3 linked regions of the Caenorhabditis elegans genome follow. The protein of the gene in region 3 interacts with the protein of the main gene of each other region in a pairwise test. Each region holds a gene or a part of one and is shown on either strand. Other genes may lie near its edges.

Region 1 (8,959 bases), on a different chromosome or scaffold from region 3:
TCAATAGTCTTTGGCATTCCACCTCCTCGTTTTCTGAACTTTCCATGCTCATCAACATCATCATATCCTTCGATGTATGTATCTGAAAAAATTGGAAAGTTTGTCAGTACGAAATAAGCAACTAAAACTTTCTTGAATATTAAAAAATATTTAGGTAGTTGCGGAATTGAACATCAAATTAACTTATTCTTCTTGTCAGAAACATCCACATATATCATAATTGAAGACTCCAAAACATTTTTCAAGATTTCAAAATTTTAGCCCAAGTTTTGGTAAATTTAAAAAAAAAAAAAAAAAAAAAAAAAAAAACATTTTACAAATTGTGACTTTTTGAGGTATTTTGAGCACTTTTGAAGACTGTTGACAATGTGTGAATAATAATACTTGAAAGGTAATTGAAATATGAACTAGAAATAAAACAATTTTTTTTATATTTGCTATTTACAAATTTCGGGAGTTATATAAATAAATAAAATCCCATTATAATGCATTGATTACCATTATTCCATGGAGGACGGTTATCCATAGTTGACTGGCTTTGACCATTTTGATGAGGTTTTCGGCTTCGAGACCTTTTTCGATCTTTCTCAATACCATCCCGGTGAACATCCTGAAAATTTAAAATTAGTAAAAATTAAATTAAGCGGGTAACTTACATATCGGTCAACGTTTGACATTTTTGAGATGTTTTTGAACAAATAATGAAAAAGAAAGAATGGTGAAAGGATTTCTTGAAAAATATTTTATGTGCTCAAATGCGCAGGATGTATCCATAGAGACAATTCACTTGCTCATGCTTTTCCAAATTGTATAGTCATGAATAATGGAAAAAAGAAAGAAACTTTGAAATGTTGAAGGATAAAAGCAAATACAGCATAGAAAAATACCACATTTTCAGGTATTTCAGGTATTGATTTCTACAAGTTTAATTGATAATAGCAAGTGTTTAAAACAGTTAACTAAAGATTTGAAAACATTTTGAGAAGATTTTTTAATTTTCAAAGATGCAAAATGAGATTCCGGTATTGTGCCTAAATATTTTTTCTTTTTTTTTTGTATTTTGGAATAATGCGATTATTTCAAACGATTTAAAGCACATTCTGCCTTTATTGCATTATGTTATCTGAAATTAGAATCCACGATTAAAAATTATATTTTTTGAAACAGTTCTAAAATGTGGAACATTAAATATAAAGGTGGCAAATTTGGTTTTGTCTCATTTCCAAATTTTCCAAGAATCCAGACAACACAAATTCATTGTTTTCTAAGCTTCACCGATGTTTGTTTAGACGTCGTTGTCGTATCTCATTTTCAATTAGGCGTTTACATGGGTCACCGAGATGTGGAAAAATAAAGAGAAAATGCATGTAATTCCTTGTTTTTAGAGATATGGTGTGTGTGTGTGTGTCTAATGAATGAAATCTGCTGTTTTTGTTTTCACTGATTCATTTTTCACATTAATTTGAAACTACGCTTTGTAAATAGTAGGTCAAAACATTTAACAAGACAATACATAATCTGGAATTTTTTTATCAAGTGGAAATTTATTTATTTTATCAGATTTTTTAAGAATCATGATATTTCTTTTTAAAAAAAGCTTCCAAAATGTACATATGTCTACATTTACACATCCCCTAAATTTCAAGAGGTCGGCAAAAAACAGTAATGGGAAAATAAACTAAAAAGACTTCAATTGAATTTTTAAGTGGAAATTTAAAAAAAAAACGCTAAAACGTCTAAATATCATTGTGAACCTTTTCAGAAATTTTTATTTACAGCCAAAATGTGGTGATAACTTAGTTTTACCAATCATAATTTGACAGTCGACCAAAAAAAATATATCATCAACCAGTTTTATACGTTTTTAATTTTGTTTCTATAACCATTTGTGTTTTAAAAATTCTATGTTTTTGAACATGAAGCAATGCTCAAAATTACTTTAAAAGTGCACGTTCTTGATAACCGAAATGTTGTCACTAATTCAGCCTGCAATTCTTTGAAATGGTTGCAGTATTTTGTGCAATTAAATGTATATCCATTTTCATGATTTTTTGTTAGCTTAAAATATATTCAAGAAATAAATATTAAACCTTCTTCATTTTCTAAATTATGCGTGCAGGTTGTTGTATCTTTCTCACAAAAAACTGTAAATTGTCAAAGAAATGAGATGGGATTGTAAGAAAAGTGGGTTTGCGTGAAGAGATTTGAAGCGAATTGGTGGGAAAAAGCAAGAAAAAAAGAAAATTGTTTCTAAAGTACTCCAATTATTGGCGGGAAATTGAGAAAACCGATCATAAGCTCAAAAACTAGATGCATCCTGTGAAAAATTGTGTGGAATTGAAATAATAATAATGTTAATAATGTGAGAAAAAACTGGGAGAAATTGGGGGAAAAAATAGAGAAAGAGAGACAAAAAATTCATAGTCATGGAATTCATATAAAGTTTAAAAGAACATAAAAAAGCAAATGAATGAGAAAGAAAAAGCCTATATGGTGCTACAGTAACCGAATGAAATTTTTGATGGGATGTGAATATTTGGGAGACAATACTGTACTGTACATAGAGAGAGACCAAAATAATCGAAACTTAAATGGGATGGAGAAAAAAATGAAATTCAAAGACCCGCTGTTTATATCATATTTTCTCGATTTCAGAGTTCTTAGTGGAGGAGGTGAAACTTTGAGAGAGTACAATATTCATTTAAAAAAATTAAACTTAATAAGCTGGGGTTTCTACTCTTGGTGGGACCGTGGAGACGACGTTGGAGAAGATGCTGGAGATGGCGTCGACGTCTCCGCTTGAGAGTTCAGACCTGAAATTATTTATTCATTAAAATCAAGGCTTAAAAATTGTTCAAAGATTTTTTAAATATTGTATATTGCAATAAACCTAGGCACCAAGTCAATTAAGCTATATTTCAAAAGTTTTTGAAATTTTTAGTTTTTGAAAGTTTTAAGATTGAGTTGTGTGAAAAATGATCTGATTTTTTGAAAATTATTAAAATCTCCAAAAAGCTTTCAGAATGTTTTTTGCATCTAAACAACCTTAAAATCACTAAAATAATGTAAAATCCGGATTTAGAGCAGCTTGACATGCTTGTATTTGAAGGAATGCTCTGAGAAATTTCAGTTCAACGTTTCAAATAAGACTAGGCTTTCTAGTTTTTCCCCATATTGGTCAACTAGAATTGCTTTTACATGTTCAATAAGTTATAAGAAAGTGTTTCCCATCAACTATACGAACGGATCAAATCGGCAATTTATCATTCGGTGACTTGACTCCGGGAGCAGCGCTCCTTTTTTGGACAAAAACTGAGTGACGAAGAACACGCGGTTTAGAAAAACGAGCACACTAATCCGTGGGGTCAATGAGGAGACACTTACTTCAGTTTAAGCCCTTTTTCGTTGCCTTTGACGTTTCGAACAAAATTATTACATAGAAAAGAACTCCTCTTTCTGAGCTAAAACATTTGAAAAGGATCTAGAACTTAAGTGTAGACCCTCTTTTGTTAATGCCTATCTAGAAGCTGTAGCTACTGAACTTTCCCCTTATAATGTGTATCAGAAAACATACACCTATTATCAGTAAATATGGGATGATTAGTGCATTAAATAGCAAAAAAACTGAGCGTCACGACAGGATAACAACTTTAAAATTAAGAGGATTACGTTTCGACTTTTCTTGTTCATGTACAAGCACGCACGGTGTTCAACTAGCTGTCAATCATTCGGAATACCCAAAAAAAGAATGATAAGAAAAAGCAGACAGGTTGCCATGTAACAAAATGTAAGAAAAGTGTATTCACCTGCTCACCTCACCTGCTTCATTTGGAGGAGTTGTTTGTGGTGCCAAAAGTGCAAGTTGTTGCCCTTGAGCAGCTTGTTGGGCTAGAAGTTGGAACATGAATGGGTGCATTGTGTGACGGAACAAAGTTGGATCCAATCGTGCCATTACTTCCATTTGTTTTTTCATTGCGTTTTGGAACAAGCTTCCCGTTAATAGATTTTCGTCTGATGATGGTGGAGAATCCTAAATAAAAAGATGTTTGCTAGGGGTTACCATTATTCATCATCTTGAACTAAATTACTTCACTTTAACAACTTTATGAAAAATATAAGCTGCCAAAAGGCACTGCTGTATGCTTCAATGTATCTTCCAAGTACAGTAACCCATGCCTAAACTTTACAATATGACCCCCTGATCTCCCATCAATTCCTTAATGTACTTTATGAAAATGTATAAAACCATCATTCAATCATGTTTGTTGTTAAAGCGGCACAGTTTTGTCGGCTGCTTCACACTCACCTCACAAGTTTGCACATACACACATACAAATGATTCATACTAGTTTACATCTCTATAAAATGTGCAGAACAAGATGAAGGGAGAGGAGGACTCTTTATTTGCCCCTACTAAACATATAATAGTTTTTAAGTCCATTTCGTAAAACTGTTAGAATAAGAGGGAAGATGGGGAAAACTATAAAATCTGTACAATGTATTTTATGATCTAAACTTTTTTGCTCTCACCTTCTTTGATGAATCGTCATCTGAAGTGACATCGGCAATCGACCACATTTTTGGTTTACGCTTCGGACTTTCAGAATCATCATTTGGAATTGGGGATACTAGTTCTTTCTTCGGTGTTGTCAACTCATCTGATCCTCCAGATCCTCCCGAAGGCGTTGGTGATGCTAGATGTGGCTTTCCGAATAGGGATTCTCCTTTTCTTTCGGAATTTATGGATGTTGAGCTTGATGGACGGTTCATGTCATCATCATCGTCGTCTTCATCGTCATCACAACCATCGCCTCGTCGATTTTGTGGTGACCAAGTCATCTTGTTCTCCTTCTTCAGTCGTCTTCTGGCGTTAGCAAACCATGTCGAGACCTGTAATTAAAAATATAAATTTCAAGCTTCGGCTTTGTTTTTCGGGCTAGAGTTTATTTTAATAAAATAACTTCAAAGTTTTGGTTCAAACAATTTTAAAATCTAATTTTTGGCGCCAAGGTTGTGTGTTGTTGGTCTATTGCAACAAAATCAAACAAGTAGTAGCCCTATTTGGTTTGAAACATTTCTCGTATTGTGTAAAGAATGTCTCTCGAAACACATTAATTAAGCGGGGTACGAGGTGTCATCATCATCGCTTATCGCCTCTGTACATCTTTTGTTTCTCGCCCCTCTTTTTTTGGCATCGGTCAAAAAAGGAGACATTTGCCCCCGGGGTTTGATGGCCGGTGAGTGGCTAATGTTACAATAACACTGCGGGAAACACTGTCTACTACATTTTACAACAATATTTTTTGTGGTATTTGTAATTGATGACTAGAGGCGGCTCTAAAATCCCGTGTGAGCTAATAAATTGAGCAAATATTGTGGAGTAAATTACGAGATTACGGTTGGTAATAGGCTATTACGGCTATTAAATCATTTCACAGTGTTGCATTTACTAATTGTTGTCAAAACAAGAAATAATACAACATACCTGTGTAAGTGTCATTCCTGTACCAACTGCCAACATAACTTTATCAGCTTTTGATGGATATGGATTCTTTCTATGAGAATGAAGCCAATCTTTGAGTGGTGCAGTTGCTTCTCGTGTTGCATTTCTTTTCTTGATTCCATCTAAACCATATGGATGATATAAACGATGAGCATCACTGAAGAACATGGGCATCGGTCCTGGCCCTCCACCTAATAACATTTCTGGTTTCAGATCTGCTGGAATTCCATGTGGAAACATCGGAACTCCGGGGAAGCCAGCAAGAGTTGCTTGTTGAGCGGCGGCGGCGGCTTGAGCTTGAGCAGCGAGAACTTGAGCCATGGCAGGATGGAAATGAAATTGACCTAAAAGGTTTGGTGGCAGAATTCCGCGAAGTGCATCCGGAGCTGAAGTGGGTGGAGCAGGAGTCGTTGTTTGTGGTGTTGTGGGCTCTTCCATTTTGACCTGGAAATGGATTTACTTTTCTAGTCAGGTGAAGTGAAGGTATCCAAACGAATAAATCTGACATTTGGCATCTAAATTTTTTGGAAGGAAGTATTTTGAGACTGTGTTCAAATGTTGTCTAATCTAAGATTTATGTAAAAATTGGTAGGAATCGAAAACGAAAACCTTGTCCAAGCTTTGACAACTTCTCAACTGCAATTTTCTATATTAGACTTGCACCCCCCTCTTCCTTCACTTTGACAGTTTATATCTCAGTTCTTTGTGGTTTTATTAAAAAACTTCAAACGGACAATTTACTTGCAAAATAATTTTCTATGTTTTGGTTGTATAACACTTTTTGATAAAGCTGAAGGCAACCGAGATATAAACCGCCAAGCAGTGGCGGTGCAAGGTTAACATGGCAATTGGAAAGAGCAGGAAGTTGACTCCAAGTGTCAAGAAGGACAAAAATGAAATAAATAAATGTAAGAACACTACTTGAGAATATAGAAATTATAATTTAGCTTATTAAACTTATCGCTTAAAAACTGACCTGATTGGCAATAGGAATCATTGTGATGGTGTAGTAGAAGTAGATGTGTTGATCTCAGTACAAGTGCAGAAACAATAGTTGATAAGTATGATTATTTATGATCTGAAGAACACATTGATATCAGTTATAATTCCAGAGCAGTTTTTTGTTGAAAAAGATAGACAGAGAGAGTGAGAGAGAGGCAGAGAGGCGACGAAATCAAGAGGGAGCAAAGGAGGAGCGATTCAGTGATAAGCATAGAAGAGAAAGAGAAAAGGTTTGATTGATAATTCTTGAAGAAATTGAGATGATGTAGAACTATGTGGGACCTTATGTTCAACAACTTGTTGAGCAATCTCGATTTTCTGCAGATGCCCGCCCGGGGCCGTGTGTGTCTCTCTCTCTCTCTCAAGTCCCGCCCACCATCCAATAGACATGGAAGCCACAGGGCGGGGCCTGGAGAGTAGGGAAAGAAATTGAAGAAGCGCAAAAAACACGTGCGAACACGTAGATTTAACAAGATAAACCGGAGAAATTCACGAAGAGAAACGGAAAAGAATCGGAGTAAAGAGAAGTAGAAGAAGATGATGATGAAGGATACAAGAATCGAACGGAAAGAAAACAAATTGATGATATGGCAACTAAAAGAGATTGAAAGATAAACAATTAACCGTTCCAGCTAATGATTGTAAGAATGATGATGGTTTTGATATCTTACTATTTCATTGTTTAGTGTTATTATTTCCAAGTTTGATTCTAGAATTGTTATTTTTGTGCAAAAAAAATCTTTCGAACCTAATACCTCTCTACCTCTACCAATTATCAAGTTTGGGAATGAAAATTAAGAAATACAAGAACCAAAAATCTCAATAAATGTATTCACAAGGACGAAGAGCAAACAAGTTGTAAATTTGCTGGCTGGCTCACGAATGGAAACTGAAAATTGAAGCAAATAACGGGAAGAGGAAGCTTTGGAAGGATCATTGCATAGAGTTTAATCCGAAATATTGGCAGGATGAAGAGAAAAAAAGTATAAACATTTGAAAGTTAAAAAGTAAAACGACGGAAAATCTAGAGAGTACTATCAAATGACCCGAACACACAATGGCGCCACGAACAAAAAAAGGACAAAGGAGAAGAAGCTGAAATCAGTGAACTTAAGTCAAGAATGATACATCGTAGAAGCAATTAGGTAATGGTCAGAACGGTTTGTAGGGGGACAAGAATTGAGAGAATAGAAGTTTAAAATGGCATGTCTCTTGTTGTCCGAAGCGGGGTGTAAAGAAGTGTAGCTGCTGGATAGGGGGCGCCGGCGAGAGTAAGTGGCCAACGATGGCGCTGATGACGATGATGAAGAAAAAGAAAATGGAGAAGAAAAAGGTAAAAAAAGAGGACACGGTGTAATACATTTACTATTGTGTCAGTTATTGTGTTAACATCTCTCTTTGGGTCATTCGATCATTTAGTTATTACAACATGTAACAACAACACATATATAGTAACATAAAGTTGCAACAAAAAAAGTTCAATGGCGGAAGTTTGTACTAATACAGGAAGATGTAGGTACATATGAGCCAAACAAGACAAAAAGGTGTATGGTAGGGAGATTGATGTCAAACGATGATGAGAAAGCGATGGAGGAGGAGTCATTGGGCGGAGTCAATCGCCGGGGGAGGAACACGGGAGGTAGGAGGGTGTAGACATGAGGTCGCGGCACAATTTATGAGGAGCTGGAGCCAGAAGATGATGAAGCTGTGGAATTGAAGTAGAAGAAGCAACTAGTTAATGGGTTTTGGTGCTTTCCAGAGAGCGGTGTTGTTTTTTGTGAAAACACTGCTCACTTTTTTGTTAAATACATGGAATACGGTAGTGGTTGCAGAAAGGAAATACTTGGAGGTAATTAACGGAAAAGTTAAGCGTTCCGTTTAATCGAAAAAAGCGGGAGAAGAGTTGAATTCGACGGTGAAGAAGAAGTTGAATGTACCCAAGAGATTGAAGAACATTTGTTGATTTTTAAGAACTTCCAAAATAGTGGTTTTCCTAACTCATAAATGGGGTATTTTTCAACGAAGAAACTTGAAATGATCCAAACACGCAAGGCTTTTCCCTTTTAAAAGTTTAAAAGCTTCAAGCTAAAAACATTTGGTATAATTTTTAGGGATTTTCTTTGCCGCCGTTGTTTTTTATAGCTTTGTCACTAAAAAAATTTAAAGACCGTTAATCCAGAAAAATCAAGAGCAAAACCTGCTATCATAAACTTTTCATCGCGTTTTTTTATGAAAATGAAAAGTTTCTATATTGAATTTACTACTTGAATACCGAGCATTCGGATTATTACTTTGTTTTAACCAAGAGCAGATATAGAAAAATTGTCTGCCAGTATACAACTCTATTAAAGTTGCAATAATCTCTATGATACCCATAATATAAGTACGAGAGTGTTTTTGAATACATTGCCATATCTATAATTACAGTTCTTATTCTAACAGCTGGTAGAGACA
Region 2 (9,805 bases), about 11 Mb from region 3:
CCAAACTTCCGGTCTACCAGATTTCATACTATCAATAAAATGCTCATAAGGGATCTAAAAATTCAATACTACAGTACTACTTGTGCATAATGTTTTTGAAAAACAAACTGTCTTAAAATTTCGATTTCAATTTCAACTTCAAAAATATGATGTTACATCTCTTTTTACGTTTTTCTTTTTTTTTCTATCAAATTATACTAAACTGCAGCTTGATATTCTAAGACTCCTTTATCACCAGACTAGAATCACTTGCCACCTATGCGTACTCATTGCGTCTCCGTTTTCGGATATTAGCGCAAAGTGGGCTGCACATCTTTGCTCTTCTCGAAAAAGATAGGTGAAAGTGTGGGAAGTGCTTGTCGCGACACATGTTGATATGTTTATTCAGTTCACATTTGGCAATATTTTCAAGTGCTTCTAGAGTCGTCTCAATTGCCAAAAGGCTCTTGTTTTTGGGAACAGGACTTTAACGATCTCGTCGTCTTGTAACCCCTGCCATATTGGGGATTTTAAATTCTCCAATTGTTTTGGCGGTTCTAATGTCATGTCACAAAGTTGACCCAATTGTTTTGTAAAAAGTGATTAGAGAAAGTGTGCCGTCAAGGGTAATCAGTTTGTAGATTACGTAAGAACCACACAGTTTTGCGGAAGATCGAGAAGATTGGGAAAAAAGTATGTCAGCACTTAACGTCGGGTGGCAGGTATGAAGAAGTACAGAATTCGCGAAAAACCCCTTTGAAGGACATTTGCGGTGGCGGAGAGTTAATTTAAAGGTCTTCTTTTTCTCAACTGGTTGACCCCCCATACAACACTTTCATTTCCGTCAACTACAAAATAAGGAAATTGTTTCACGTTACTGTCATTTGATCGTCTTTTTCTTTGCATTGAAGCAAAGCGGAGCGGCTCAGTGAGAGCCTCCCAACAAGGAAGTAAAATTGAGTGGGAAAAGACCGTAAGACGAGGACGGCGCTCAACTTTGTGCAAGCCCTGTCTTCTCTACGTTTCGTTCGACGCACGGTTTTGGCACAATTCAACCTGGTGCGGCTCTACAAACACCACGTACGTATAGTGGTGTGCGCGTTGCGGAGAGCCACAGCAAAATAAGTAAGCGAGAATAATTGAGAAGACAAACAGGGGCCCCCTCCCGAGCATAGATGGCCGCCGAGCCACACAGTGATGACCGGCGGCGCTGTCACGAAGGTCCACACCAACGGCGTCTCGATAACACTCTCGGCGCAAGTCAGACCACAAATCGGAAAGAGGTGATGGAAAAAGGTCGTCGCTCCATATTTGCCTACCAGATGCAAAACCGTATAGTTATTCAATTTATGTTTGCCTGTTTATTGGCTCGTCACTACTTTCGTTTGTTGTTGGGCGAGTGACCATTTGGATGCGAAGGCGAAATCGAAACCGTATCCACCCCGTGTTTACTGCTACTTGAAAGTTCTCATCCAGACGGATTCCGTGTTTGAGTGCGTGTGGAGGCCGGAGCAAAATTTCACAGACACAATGAAACAACCTTGTGTAGTAGAAACAGTTTTGTAATTTGAAAAGTTTTTAAAATCAGACAACTGAGATTATATCTCGATTATACAAATCACTTGCTCCGGGTTTTTTTCTCTAGATTTCCATCGGTTTTGGGACTGCACTGGAGATTTTTGGATGAACATGTGAAAATTTTTTAAATAATGCACAGGCCGAACAGTCACACTTTGAAAATAAATTGATGTGATCTATGCAGATAGTTGCAAATTTCAAAAAACTCTACCCCTGAACACTGTCATTCTGCCATGCCATAATTTAGTTCAGTCGGATGAATGACCTTTCGTTGGCCAATTGGATGCGAAACACTGGACGGCACCGAATCGGCACGGCAAGTGGTACTGACAAGCGACAACAAAGACGGATAGACCATCAGTTAAATCAAGATAAGAATTGCTTGTGAACTTTTTCAGATATCGCATTAGGTCGAGAAGTTAATCAAATCATTGCTTTTTGAAGACATCACTGAAAGTGCCAATATTTTAGTAATTGATATTTACACAAGGGACCCCACTGAACTCATCAATTTTAAAATGTGATTTCCAGTTGATGTAAGCAACCAAGAAAAAGGCATATTACTTCAGGTTTTTTGCACTTTTATTTTCCAATCTCACAAATGTGGGCGTATGATGAGCGGCACACTCACGCATCCAAAAGTTTGCCGGATTCATAAAGTAGTATAGAAGTGTCTCACGAGCGTGGAGGGTGGCGCTGGCCCGAAAAAAAAATACGCTGAGACTGTATTGGAAAAGTTTAATCACGTATTTCGCTCGACTCGTCATTTATTTGAGCCTTAGTTTGTGTCTCGCCGTTTTTGGTTTTCCGCCTCTCCCTCATTCCCCCCGGTCTATTCCGAATTTGCCGCGACCCATCACAGGTCACGAACTTTAGTGCCCGCACGCCGCGTTTTGTATCTGCCTGCGCATCTACACGCTGACATACTATTTGTTTGATCCGCGCGGAACTGCCACAAACAACAACAATCTGCGTCCGGCGAAGACGTCGTCACCATATACCCATCTATTGCATCCAACTCATCTCTTTCTTGTATTTAATTCCTTTTTCACACACCCACACACACACACACCACACCACAGGTTGCAAACCATTGTATAATTTTCTGAAAAGCACTGTAACCAATTAGAAAACGATTTTTCAAAAGTGGAGCAGTGCTACATATATGATACCAAAATAATCAAATTTTGTATTAAAACTTTTAAAAAGTCAAAAAAAATCGTTTGAAATGTTTTTTTTACTGACAGTCAAAAAGTGGAAATTTTTAGAGTTTATGCCTCGAACAAAAACTGAGATTTTTCCAATTTCCAATTCCAGTTTGACACACATAGTGCAACTCCAATTGCTCATTATTTTATTAGTTTATTCTTACAACCATCACCCTTTTCCCAGATGTATTTCGTACCATGATGTGTGTATGTGTGTGTGTTAAAAGGTCATTTCAAGCTCTTCGTGAAAGGCACCCTGCTCAGTTTGTGCCCTGTTATGATCAATATAAATGTGTACTTTATTCCAGGGCAACGAAACGAGTAAACACCGAGAAAAGGAAGCATTCTGGATATTCCAAACTGGGGCTGATGATGACAACAACAGTTCAAAAAAATTGCTGGCGGCTTGACCAGGTGAGTGACCAGTTAGATTTGTTCAGCGACAGGCGTTTTCAGTCGGTGGTTTGAGTTTGCACAACTGTTTTCTTGTCCTTTGCGTGAGCCAAGGGGTTTGTGCTGAGTTACCCTCTATCTATTTGTCAGAATACGATGTGATGATCAAAACTTTAACATCATGCATTTTCTTGAGATCCATAAACCCCCCCCCCCCCCCCTCTCGTGTGCTTCTCTGTTTCTCGGTTTGTTCTCCTATTCACCCCGTTCGTTTCAGTGACGTGTCGTCGTTTGTTTCTGCCTGCCAAATATGGCTACGGGGGGGAATATGAATTAAATTGACTTGGTATCTATCATTCCATTTTTATTTTCTGGGAGATGTCAAGAAATTTTGGAGACGAGCGGTTTTTAAAATTAATGTAGTTTTTTTTGTTGTGTTCTCACATTTTAGTTTTCTAATCGGGGAAATGTTGGAGTAAATTGTAATTGATAGGTACACATTTACTTATCAATGGTTCACAGTTTCAGTTAATTATCAGTATTCATATGCGTTTTTATCTTTTGTATAATTTTAACATTCTACATTTTGCAACCAAAAAGCTCTCTATGTTTCTCCTTTACGGGCGGAAAGTAGTGCTGGCTTGTACCATTGCCAATCAGCTCTTTGATTAAAAAACCAACATATCAGTTGACAGTACCATTTTGCCCCTGCTCGACTTCAATGGGCCGCGCCAGATGAGTCAGCGACCTTTGCACACGAGCCCGGACAGTGCTAGGCGCCGGGGCATGACCAATGCGCGAAAGTTTTGTTGCGTAACCGCATGTTTATTGTCCGCTTGCCAATCGTTTTCACTTTTAGTGATACTTGCAGCTCGCCCTCGTCGTTATATTTTTTTTCTGACCGTCGACGCTTGCTTGCCTTCTCCGAAAAGTTTTGATATAAAACTAGCAGTATTTTTCGTTCTGTGGCTCATAGTTTCTGACGTCTTCCTCTTTATGACTTTACGCGGAAGAAAAGGGCAACATCTAAAACCACCCAGTAATATAAAGTGCGCGGTTTCGAGGGAACAGTTTCGAGAGAAAGATTAAGTAGATGAAGGCAGAGAGAACCAACATTTGCAAATATAGTACTAGGTTGGAGGAGTGCCTCGGCGCTGCGATGCCTGTCTACAAGTTTGCACTTGGCTGGTCAGTGGCGTTACGTGCCACTCTCTGTACTGCGCGAGACGTGGCCAAACTGATGCGAAGCACAATATATACACGCCCCGAAGGGTCATTGTTTGCCGTTTGCCCCCCCCCCCCTTTGCGGAAAGGCCTTTCGTACTGTACTCTTGATGTGTGCTTCCTTCCGGCCGGGCACCCGCCACCGTGGTTGTCACAACTCGGATGGCTCCCACTTCCTCCACTGTCGAAACCGTTCGGACCGCCCATTTCCATTTTGGCTCACGCCGGGCTCTCGCACACATACTTTCCACACTTCTACTGTCAGTGGTGGCAACTGGAAGCACTCCATAGTTGACTAATGACCTTTCTAACCTTGTTCCCTGTACTAGAGCTATCAATTGTGTATCATTTCTCTTTTACACTATTTCATGTTTGAATTTTCGAACAGGGGGTCAATCTCTGAGGCAGGAAGGGTGGAGCACCAGTAACGCACTTTACTCGTTTTGCCTTGGCGCGTTCATTGTTCCATTTCACAATTTTTCTCCTAATTTTCTAGACCACTTCAGTTTTTAGAAGCGCTAGATGTTGTTTCATGAAGTGACCAGTCTTGCGTGTTCAGTTTTTTTCTTGGCGTAAATGCCCACTCTTCTTCTTTTCTCCTAGCTGCCCCTTCTTCACTTTCTCCAAATCAAGGTTCAGCTATAGAAAGTAAAATCGCCTTTCACTCATCCTGGACAAGATTGACTACGAGCTTTTGCAGCTTCTAAGACTTCTTCGAGAATGGGGGGGGGGGGGGGGGGGGCGCGACGTGAAAATGAAGGGCATTCATGGATCCCGTAGTAAATATGTGATATCATCTATACCAATTTTCTGGATATCGAACTAATCATTGACGATTGCAAAATTTCGAAAAATTTGTAGGAGAGAAACGATTTCATCTGACCGATCCGAGACTGGCACCCCTTTGTTCTAGGCCCTCTCCCGATTGCCATAGAGATGTCCATCCATCACCTTTCCTGACAACCCCAGATGGTGGCGTATGTGTATGTGTGTGTTTTTTGACTAATTGGAAACGAAAAGCCGACTCCAGACTTGTAATTTTGCTCCAGCAATGTTTTTTTTCCAGATCTTTTCAAATTGACGAATCTGCCTTTAAACGTTTCGTGATAGACATAGAAATTGACATCCGGTCAAATAATTAGATGAAAAAACCTTCCATATTGGGGGCAAAACGTCCAAGTGAGAGTGGATCGGCGACTGGCGCCAAATTGCTGCTGCCGACGCAGTTACCATACTTGGATGTCGGACAAGGCGGATTTCGAGAGTTGTTTTTATGTACACACGCCTTTCACCTCTTTGCCCCTTGTGATCTTTTTTGCATTCGTTAGACGCTTCTTTCATTTTCGTTCCTCATCACCATCATCATCCACTACTAATGGTTCAGGGCACGGCGTATGCGCGCGCGTGCCTCACACCATCGGATCGCGGATGTTTTGGCGGGGTTGGCTGTTCATTTAGGGGGGAGGCGGCCGATTGAAATGAAGAAGATGTTGTGGATGTAGAAGTAGGAGGAGATGGAGGAGGCAAAGGCCTTCTCCCTCGCGGTTCTTCGTGGCAGGCAGCCTGACCCCGTTCCTTACTGAACCGCCCCCCCCCCCCCCCTCTCACTTCCACCCGACGCCGCCATCGGAATTTTAGACTACCAGTAGAATATGGATAGCGGAAGGTGTGAAACTTCAGACTGCGATTCTCTAGATTCACGCTTACTGTATTTCTACCTTACTACTAGTCTTGTTACGATTACCTTCCTAATTTTAACGTTTGATATGTTTTCACCTTCGGCTTCTATACAATTCCCATCATCTTGAAATAGGTATTATCAGCATGTAAGCATGCCAAACAAATATTTTTGTTGTCCAGTGGTGCTCGACCGTTCCAGGATCGGTATTATGCAATTTTTCGCTGAACCAAGCATATACATACTGATAAGAAAAATGTTTGTTCTGTCGGCCACTGATTACTAGACACTTGAATTCTGACCGCCATAAATGGCGAATCGTACGCGAGAAGTGCTGACGCCGTCTTGCGCCGATGTCCAATAGGACCTTGCACTTTGCCGATGTTGCAACAGTAATAGTTTCCATCAAGGTTATGCGGACTAGTGCCACGCGATTGGGTCAAGCCGTTGGCTTCCGCCTTTCTTATCAAAATCTTCGCCCTCAATTACCTAATTTTGTGGTTTTTTTTTTCTCTCCCGAATCCATCAATCCGGTGTCAATCCGTGTCTTCCGCGCTAGGTCATGCGGGCGGCGACGGCGCGGCCCTTTTTTCGGTAATCGTCCTGGCATCCCACACTTTCCATTGGCCCGGATATAATAACTTTTTGGAGACCCCCTTTCTGGTGCCTATTTGCAAAACTTGCTTCATTTTTGGTCACTTTTACTCGAACTTTCTCTTCGACGATGACCCCCTCGCCCGCCACAAAAACAAAAAGTGAAACTTGGAACGGTACTCGTTATACCTCATGCCTTTACTTTCTCGCGCCACTTCCTCGCAGTATTCCATGGATGGAAAAGCGGTCAAAAAAGTATTATGATCAGGCTGGCGGAAGATAGATGGAAGGAATTGTGGGTCAACGAAGTCAAAACACCATTACTCGATAAAAGTCGCCGCATGTTGCGGAATGTGTGCCATCGAAACTGGTTACTGTATTTCTTTTCCGAGAATTTTGCTTTGCCCCGCTATCAACTTTTTGTTCTATCTTCTTTAGAAATTCCGAATTAAATAATGATAATCATATACTTCTGTATTCTTTTTAACCCTTCTTTAGTCTGTTTTTGAAATTTCGACCAACCACCTCAACAAAATTTACCAAAATCAAAAAAAAAAGTGAATGTGTCAATCTCGTTTCAACGCATGTTTCTCGCCAATTTCCGTACAGTCAGTTGTGCCTCCTGCCGGTCACTCATCCTCTATCTCTTCGCCACTCTCGTTCTCGCGCACCTCATCCAAATAACAGTATTCGGTGTCTTAGTTGGCAGCCGGTTGGTGCCTGCCACGATAGGTTATCAGTTCAAATGGCACGCGCCTCTCTCGACTGCCCCATCAGCTGATTTGTCCGCCCCAAGCAACTGATAGTGCCTGGGGCGGAGAGATAGATGAGAAAAAATCGTCTGATTCTAGGTGTCTGAACCTCGCTCGCTATCCAACAGCAGGTCCGCTCGTTTTTTTTGTCACATCTCTCTTCGTTGGTCATATCTCTTTTTCATCATCTGTCTAGTTTGAGTTCAATTTCTAATTCATCAGAGGTCATTTGGTTATTATTATTCTATTGCTCCCATCGCTATTTTTTTTTGCTCATTTGATTTAACACATCAATTTTCCTTTTCAGACAATGCTGGGTCTTGAAAAGCCTGGATCATCAGACATTTCGTCTTCTTCCACTGATACTTCCGCCATTTCTCCGATTAGCGTGAGCAGTATGCCACTATCACCGGACAAGGAAAAGAAAAAGGTAAGTACTTTGAGATAACTGTTTGGACTGTCCGAAGGGCAAACATAGTTTTGAAAGAGAACGTTTGCATAGTTGACCGGTGTTTGTTCAGACGGAAAATTTAGGGCTTCCTTCCCACACGAATTTCAAAACAACCTGACACCGGGAAACACCGCCTTAACTGGCGATTTTGGGCCGATAATAATAGTTTTTTTTCAGATCTCATTTGTCCGATACAATCCAGACATTCCACAAATTGTCACATCTTTCAAAGGATATCAAAAACTTATGTATCAAGGCTACCGATATAATATTTATCAGGTATCATAGACCATCATTCAAGTGGTGACTTTCATCACGAGTTGTTTTTTTTCAGATTGCTCCAGAACGTAACTTCAAGTCTTGGAGATGCGTTTGCGCTAAGAAAATGCATGATGGGCAGTGGTGCAAATGCCGAGCTGAAACAACCATGGATAATAAAAACGCATGCACGAAAGGATCACACAATCACCCTCCAAGACACCATGTCGCTGAGATCGAATTTATCAAGGTACGTGGCGAGATTACACAGTCACAACTGTCTAGGTTAAGAGCTAGTGCCCTTTGCAATTGGCGCAGTGCCAGATCAGAGCACCGATATCATAAGGTTGAATTTGCCAGCTGACTCTTTTTGTTCCAATTGGTTCCTAGGCTTGGCGCCTTCAAGTTCGAATTTCATAACGTCATGTGGAACCTCTAGCTTTTGAGAGTGTCTAAGGGAATTGTGTGTACGTGCAAAAAAGATAACTTTTTTTTATTTCGTAACCCTTAAAAATTCACTTCATGGCACCAGTAGATGGAAAAAAAAGATCGTCGGCCCTTTTCGAGTGTGTCAAAAATAGTTTGTGTATACAAGTTAAAAGTGCAACGAGATGCGCTACTTTCGGCGCTGGGTGGCGCCGCCGAGTGCCTAGGTCAGTTGCGATGTTGGTCAGGTCAAATAAAACAATCTGAGCGTGGCACGGTTCGAAACATCGGCCACTCATGCGCGTGCCGCAATTTTGCCCCCCTCCTCCCTCCCATGTTGATGAACCGCGAATAATTCGCAAACAGATCCGCGCATTGCCAAGGTCAAGCCATGGATGGCAGGCACGCGGCAGCGCGCGCGGGGACAGGCTGGGCCATACCACCCGACTCGTTAACCTAGATGCGCCAATTTTCCCAAATCTATTGCGTCGCTGCCATTCAAATTGACGGTACAAACTTTTTGCGAATTCTTCCGAATTGGGTCATCGGAAGGGTCAATTCTGACGCAATGTAAAGTGCATCGAATTTCAAATCCTGATTCGACCTTTGTAGATGCAGTTTAAAAATACAAAATTATATTATTTCAGTCTCAACTATACTCTGCTGCCTTGGAAAATCCGGACCACGATGCTGGAGATCTTGTGAATCAAGCTAGCATGTACTTGAGTGATGGAGTGATGTTTGATAACAAGGAGAGTATAAAGAAAAGCCTAGTTGTTGCCAGAAATAAGGATGGAAAACCAAAGAAGCCAAGAAGTAAACGAATGATGAAGTTTGAAGTTGATGTAAGTTTTCGGTTAGAGAAAAACTAGTTTATTAAACTGTAATTTGTAAATTCAGGACGATGACGAGAATGAGTACAAAATGCCTAAACTGGAGACTGATATTTCATGCTTTTTGCCATTCATCAATAATATGGTCAAAGTTGAGCCACCATTCAGCCATACACCGACTATTCAAATTCCTCAACCTATCCCAACTCCTATCCAACATCAACAACAAGAGCAAAGCAATTTACTTCAGCCTGCAACGTTGAATGGTATGAACAATCCATGGATGGGAATGGAAGATCACCTCGCAATGATCTGGGCGGCAAATGCTATGTTGAACCCAGGCCTGGATGTACTTTCCACTATTGCTGCACTTTCCAAGCATCAGCAGCATGTCCAAGGTCCATCGCCTCAACAAGCTGCAACGGCTCCAA
Region 3 (5,780 bases):
AATTGCTTTTAGCCATCAAAATATTTTCGGAAATATTGCCAATTTGTTATTCATTTTTCCATATACCGTATATTCTCTATTAGAGCGGCGTATCTATTAGAGCGACACCCTAACTGGCTCTTCGAAAATTAGAGCGGCAGTCTCTATTAGTGCGGCACTCCTTTTTTTTGGGTGCGAAAAGATAACGTTATATGCGAGCAATTGATAGAAAAGAAATGAATTCTAGATTTTAATTGTGAGTGGGGAGAAAACAATGTGTGAACTTTTCATGTGTAATAAGAACTAGATAACTTTGAACCATATATCAAAGCACATCAAGTAAACGGAAAACTGCAGTAAAAAGGGAAGCATGTACACCGGACTGTCACGTTATCCTTAATATAAAGTAGTGGTTTTTATTATAGTCTCTCTATACTTACTCGAAAAAACTTATTCAAACGGACATAAACCAAATTTTAAAACATTCGGTACACGCTTCTACTAAAAAAAGTTTTGCAATAGTACTGAAATGTCTTCCCGAAAACCATTACATGTCACCCGGCATCATTATCACCTAGGAGATTCATCCCTAAAAAGATCAAAGGTTATACAAAAAATATATCGTGATGCAAGTCCTGTAAAAAAATGCAAGACGTCATATAGTTCTAATATGAAAATATTACAACGGAACCCGCAATGTAAAACTCTTAAAATGAAGAACTGCATGTTTGTTGTTAACCGGCTAATAAAAACTAAATTTTAAAAAGCTTTATATTCATTTTCGTATAATATACTTATTAAGAATAACACCCGGGAGTCTGTTCTGCAGCAGTGAAAAACATCCAGGTAAAACGATACAAACGTGTGAAATTTCATTAAAAAGTCTGGAATGGGTGAAAACATTTATAAGACTAATTTAATTCTCTAATTCTTCTCACTAATTCAAACGAATTCTTCATAAACTCAAAAATCAACAAAAAGGGTGTATACTTTTTAAGTTTATAAATAATGACAAAGAATTAATTGTACTCAATAGGTATCGCCTCCCACAACATAAAAGATTACAGATAAGACAGAGGAGAAATGGGTTCATTTTGAACTTAAAAACTAACTGTTAGAAATTCAGTTAATGCTACAATATTATTAGTAGAGTTGTGAAATAAACGAATGAAAATTGGTGTTATGACTTTCTGAGTTAGCAGATAATAAAACAAATATGGACAAACGACTAGCGTGTTTATTACGTAGAGGAATGTTTTGTTGTTGTTGTTATGCACGGTAAAATAAATAAAACACGAAGAAAGTGGTGGGAAACAGAGTTGTATTCTATACAGTTTAAATAAATTTGGAATCTAAAGAAATTTTTTTCTTTTTGCTCGAAATTCGCTCGTTTAATGTTCAAAATAAAAAAAATATATAAATATTAAAATAGAGCTATTGTGATATTAAATAATTTTCGCTAAAAGTCTCTAACTTAGAAAAAATATGGAAGGCTCGAAAAACACATTTATGGTGTAAACTGTGAAACAAAGACGATTACAAATTTACTATGTTTCTGTTTCAAACGAACTTTCAACGGTTTGTTGAAGTTCAAAGAAATATTTTACAGATCATCGAAATGCTGAACTTCTGACCTATATTGCTAAAAATCGGAAATATAATCCCAGCGTGTCATACATGGAAGAACATCTCATCAAATATCGTTTTGTTGGTTACGATTAACAAGGCTGCATGTAGTCAACACAGTATAAACCTGTGATTTTAGTTTTTAAATTATTACGGTCAACCCTTCGCCAATTTGCCGCTAGTTAAGCGAGAAGTTGAATAAGTTCAAGTGCACTTCAACACCATTCGGAACTCAGAAAAAGTGTTTCAAGGGCGATTTAGAAGCATTTTCATCAAGAGTGAACAACTGGTTGGCGGTTTGATTCATGAAATCAAATTTAAGTATCGAATGAAAAAACTCATGTTTGTAGTACTATGGCAGAAAGATAATAACTTCTTAGTAACGATATATAACTACTACTTCTCTGTGTGTTTTTATTTATTTTGTTAAATATGCGTCTCAAAAGTTAAACAGTGTAATTGAAAAGAAAAATAGCTATAAATATGAAGAAAAAATTGAAAAAAAAAATCATGATCCAGACGAAGAAGACGATGGTGCAGTTCCAAAGCTGTTTATTCCAAATGGAAATGCTGATGCAAACATCTAAAGCAAACAATTGATTTTTTGAATTTTTAATTTTCCGATTGTTAAACACCTTCCGCACGAATTTTTATGTGAGTTTTGAATTTTTTCGTTCATTGTAAAAGCTGTGTTTATTCAGGTCAAGCACTATTTTTTATATATAATTTTAGCTCTCGTGAAAGGAAAATTAAACTCACTGGATTGAAAGGGATCTGGCTCAATTGTAAGGTTCTGTCCTGGGCTAACCGCTTGCATTTGTATCGGCGATTTTGAAACCAAATTTTCACCTTAAAATGATTATGTAAAACATACAGTAATACGATTACATTACTTGTGTGGCTGTGAGGCCAAGACATTGGGCTAGCTCTTCTCGCTCAGTGGCTGTCACATAACGTTGCTTTTTAAATCGTTCTTCAAGTTCATTAACCTAAAAATGTAGACATTGGATGTGAAGTTGAAAATGAAACAACTCATGTGAAGTATACAAAAACATAGACTATCATGATGCATCTTACTTAATTCGTATTTTTGCATTCTCTAAGAATAAATTCTAGAATGAAATCATTCAAGTAAATTTTTTTTAAACTGATTTAAGATAAAATTGGTTGGTGACTGCCGTAAGATTCATCTAGATATGCTCTCGTGTGTCTTTTCCAGAGATTTTTAAGAATTTGATGGAAAAAATTAGTCAGTATATAGTCAGTTTTGGTTGTTTTTTTCACATTTTCCAGACCGTCTAAGGAGACAATTGGTTGTGTTGAAACTAAATGTTACTACTGTGGTTCAAAATTTTTAACTACTGAAGAGCCCAAAGTTCCTGAACCGGAAATCATAACCCACACACCTGATGTTGTGTGAACAAAACTCTCGGTTTTCTCTTCTGCTGTTGTGATCTCAGATTGATAGTATCTGGATTAGAATGTTGACGGTGATTCTGATAAGATCTCTGATTTTGACTTGGAGAACCTGAAATCATCAAATGGTTTTTCAAACAAGCTTTTATTTTAAATAAATATCGATTGAACTCACTATAATATGAACTTGCACCTAACAAGGATTCTCTCTGCATCAACGGAATAACTGGTTGATATGGATTTGTAAGTTCAGAAAATGACTGATCAAAACCTTCAAATAGATTTAAACGCGACGGAAGTGTATTTTTAAACTCTGAAGGAACTGCAGATTGCTGTGGCGGTTGGATCACTTCACTTGGTAAAATAACAGTAGTAGATGAAATCTGCGTAGATTGCATTGGGACCACTAACTTCAAATTGTGAAAAAGTTCTCTCTAGAAGTTTTGATATTTGAGAAGTGTCATCACGAGTAGGAAAATAGGAGGGATTTTCACACCAAATCATCCACTAACTGTTTGTTATCCATTAGAAGAATTTGACACTTTCCCTCCATCTGCTCAACCACTTGTGGCTCGTTGGAATCTTGGTGTGCACTTATTTGGAAAGAAATTAAATACAGAGGGGTCACCCAGACAGATATAAAACTGCACGATTATTTATTTTTAAATTATAAGAAAAATGACTGCAACAAACGATTTTTGCAGCTTTTGAATTGACTTGTCGGAAAATTCAAGTATCACAACATTCACTGGAAATTATGCAACTGTTAATAAATCCTGAATTAAACAAAAATCTGCTGATAGCTTACAATGTTATTTTTTCAAATAATTAATACTGCAAACAGAGTAATAACACATGGGGTTCTATGTATATTTTATCTGATTTTTCAATATCTCACTAGTCAGTTTTTAGCTTGAACCACGCTTGTCAACATAAATATGATATGTATGGTTAATCATATATGTAGAAGAGTTTGCAACTGATTTTGTACAATATTATGTATACAACTTTCGCCTGAAAATCTTACGTTGACTTCTGTTTTATTTTCAAGATTTCCATAGATTAAAAATATACGTTTTAAAAAAATTCTCTAAAAACAGAAACAAACATGAAGAGTCGAATGCCTTGGTTACTATTTGAATGCATCTATGCTCGACATTTGTACTCCTAGATTTTTACACACATCCATTCAAATTTAGTGAACTTGGAAAACTTTGAAAATGGTAAGTTTTAAGCTAGTTCAAATTTGTTAAATTCATTATTTGCATAAAGTTTTTAAAAATGCGCACTTGGTTTTGGTTTTCTCACAGTTCTCAAAAAGTTATTAGCTCTCTTTTTCTTATACTAGGAAGAAAATATTCATTTCATAATCGATTGTTTTAGTGAAATAAAATATGACATAAAATATGGCGGTTACCCTCGATGTATTCTATTTTATTATTGGATCGAACACCGTTTCAAAAATTTTCCGTTCTCTTTCTTTCCCCTTTTCTCAAACAAAATCATAAAAAGTTGGAATGAGAAACAGCAATTTTCGAATCAGAAACAAAACGTATAAAATTAACGACATTGTGTTCTTCAACAACTACGGTAGAAAAGAATACGTACATTTTAAATGTATTTTTTCACTTTTTTGTATTTTGCAGGTGTTTTGTTTGCGAAAACGAAAATCATCGTCGTCAATGTTTGGATCAAAGAAAAAGATTCCACCTCCCAAGTTTTGCCCAGCTTCTGAGCGACGTAAGTTTACAAAAAAAATTGCCTGTCGATCTCAATAACGGTTCTGCGATTTAGTTGTTAAAAAAGAGGTAAAATTAGTCCAAACCTTTGATATTCGTAATAAGAGATTTCAAAAAAATTAAAGGTGGTTAGCCTCGAAATTGTTTGAAAACACCGAATTACTAATGAAACTTCTTGAAAACTTCTCAGAAAAAAAAGTTATGACGGCTCAAAAATGACATAAAATTAGTTAAAATTTGAAATTTTATCTACTTGTCAATGTCGCAGCTGCTGGAAACATTTTTTTTGTTGAAATCGCCGTCAAATTTTGAGTATACAATGTAACTATCTTGCGTTTTCAACTTCATTTAGATATTTTAAAGTCGATGGACGGCGAAATTTGGTTTTAAAAATTCAAAAATCTCGCCGCCCATCGACTTTAAAAAATCAAAATGCAATTGAAAACGCAGATAGTTATATTGAATACTCAAAAAATGACGGTGATTTCAAAATAAATTGTTTTCAGCCGCTGCGACATTGACAAGTCGGTCGAATTTCATTATGAAATTTGGTGTTTCGAGGCAATTTTAAGTCTAATAAACAATAAAAAACATTCGACTACACCACATTTAAATGTAAAAGGCTGAAGCGTCTTTTAGCAAATTTCAATTTTGTCCGTGTTGCAGTAAATCTTAAATTGTATATAATGGTAGTTTAATACGAGATTTTATGTTGATGCAGGGAAAAAATGTATATCTCAATTGGAAACCTCTTTTGATACAGAAAATGTAACTAAATCATTAAAAATCGCTAAACTAACTATCAAATTATGCAATAATGAGTGATGTTTGAATGAAAACTCATTTCTCTGTAAATATTAAAGACATAACAAAAATTTTCGAATCACATTCATGTTATGCATACGAATCAAACGATATTTGTTATACAGAGTTAACCAAAATCACCAAAAAAAATATTAAAGTTTCAAACATATTTTATTAAAATATTTTTCTCAATTATTTTAAAGTTTTGCAACTTTT

The links.
Region 1: the proteins of ceh-28 (region 3) and irx-1 interact in a two-hybrid assay, tested with the Caenorhabditis elegans proteins (one large-scale study listed by BioGRID).
Region 2: the proteins of ceh-28 (region 3) and peb-1 interact in a two-hybrid assay, tested with the Caenorhabditis elegans proteins (one large-scale study listed by BioGRID).

What each region holds. Positions count from the first base shown.
Region 1 is NC_003279.8:9,534,386-9,543,344, forward strand, and holds irx-1 (Putative iroquois-class homeodomain protein irx-1), read right to left. Parts: upstream 6,582-8,959; 5' UTR 6,501-6,581; coding exon 6,480-6,500; intron 5,948-6,479; coding exon 5,486-5,947; intron 5,286-5,485; exon of another isoform or gene 5,146-5,285; intron 4,891-5,145; coding exon 4,531-4,890; intron 4,031-4,530; coding exon 3,820-4,030; intron 2,814-3,819; coding exon 2,734-2,813; 3' UTR 2,080-2,733; downstream 1-2,079. Other genes in the region: C41G7.7 (uncharacterized protein), read right to left, coding at 1-82, 499-610, 657-677.
Region 2 is NC_003284.9:2,207,917-2,217,721, forward strand, and holds the start of peb-1 (FLYWCH-type zinc finger-containing protein peb-1), read left to right. Parts: upstream 1-3,134; coding exon 3,135-3,179; intron 3,180-4,325; exon of another isoform or gene 4,326-4,616; intron 4,617-5,541; exon of another isoform or gene 5,542-5,664; intron 5,665-5,719; exon of another isoform or gene 5,720-6,101; intron 6,102-6,318; exon of another isoform or gene 6,319-6,666; intron 6,667-6,889; exon of another isoform or gene 6,890-7,075; intron 7,076-7,313; exon of another isoform or gene 7,314-7,530; intron 7,531-7,713; coding exon 7,714-7,836; intron 7,837-7,903; exon of another isoform or gene 7,904-8,025; intron 8,026-8,034; coding exon 8,035-8,136; intron 8,137-8,191; coding exon 8,192-8,365; intron 8,366-8,722; exon of another isoform or gene 8,723-8,985; intron 8,986-9,188; coding exon 9,189-9,386; intron 9,387-9,441; coding exon 9,442-9,805. UniProt on the Caenorhabditis elegans protein: Putative transcription factor. Binds to specific sequence motif 5'-[TC][AGT]TGCC[GA][AT]-3' in regulatory elements of target genes such as myosin myo-2. May modulate gene expression, perhaps acting in opposition to transcription factor pha-4.
Region 3 is NC_003284.9:13,072,321-13,078,100, reverse strand, and holds ceh-28 (Homeobox protein ceh-28), read right to left. Parts: upstream 3,429-5,780; 5' UTR 3,420-3,428; coding exon 3,197-3,419; intron 3,134-3,196; coding exon 3,012-3,133; intron 2,595-3,011; coding exon 2,499-2,594; intron 2,455-2,498; coding exon 2,365-2,454; intron 2,189-2,364; coding exon 2,114-2,188; 3' UTR 2,009-2,113; downstream 1-2,008. UniProt on the Caenorhabditis elegans protein: Probable transcription factor that regulates neuronal differention, including synapse assembly of the cholinergic motor neuron M4.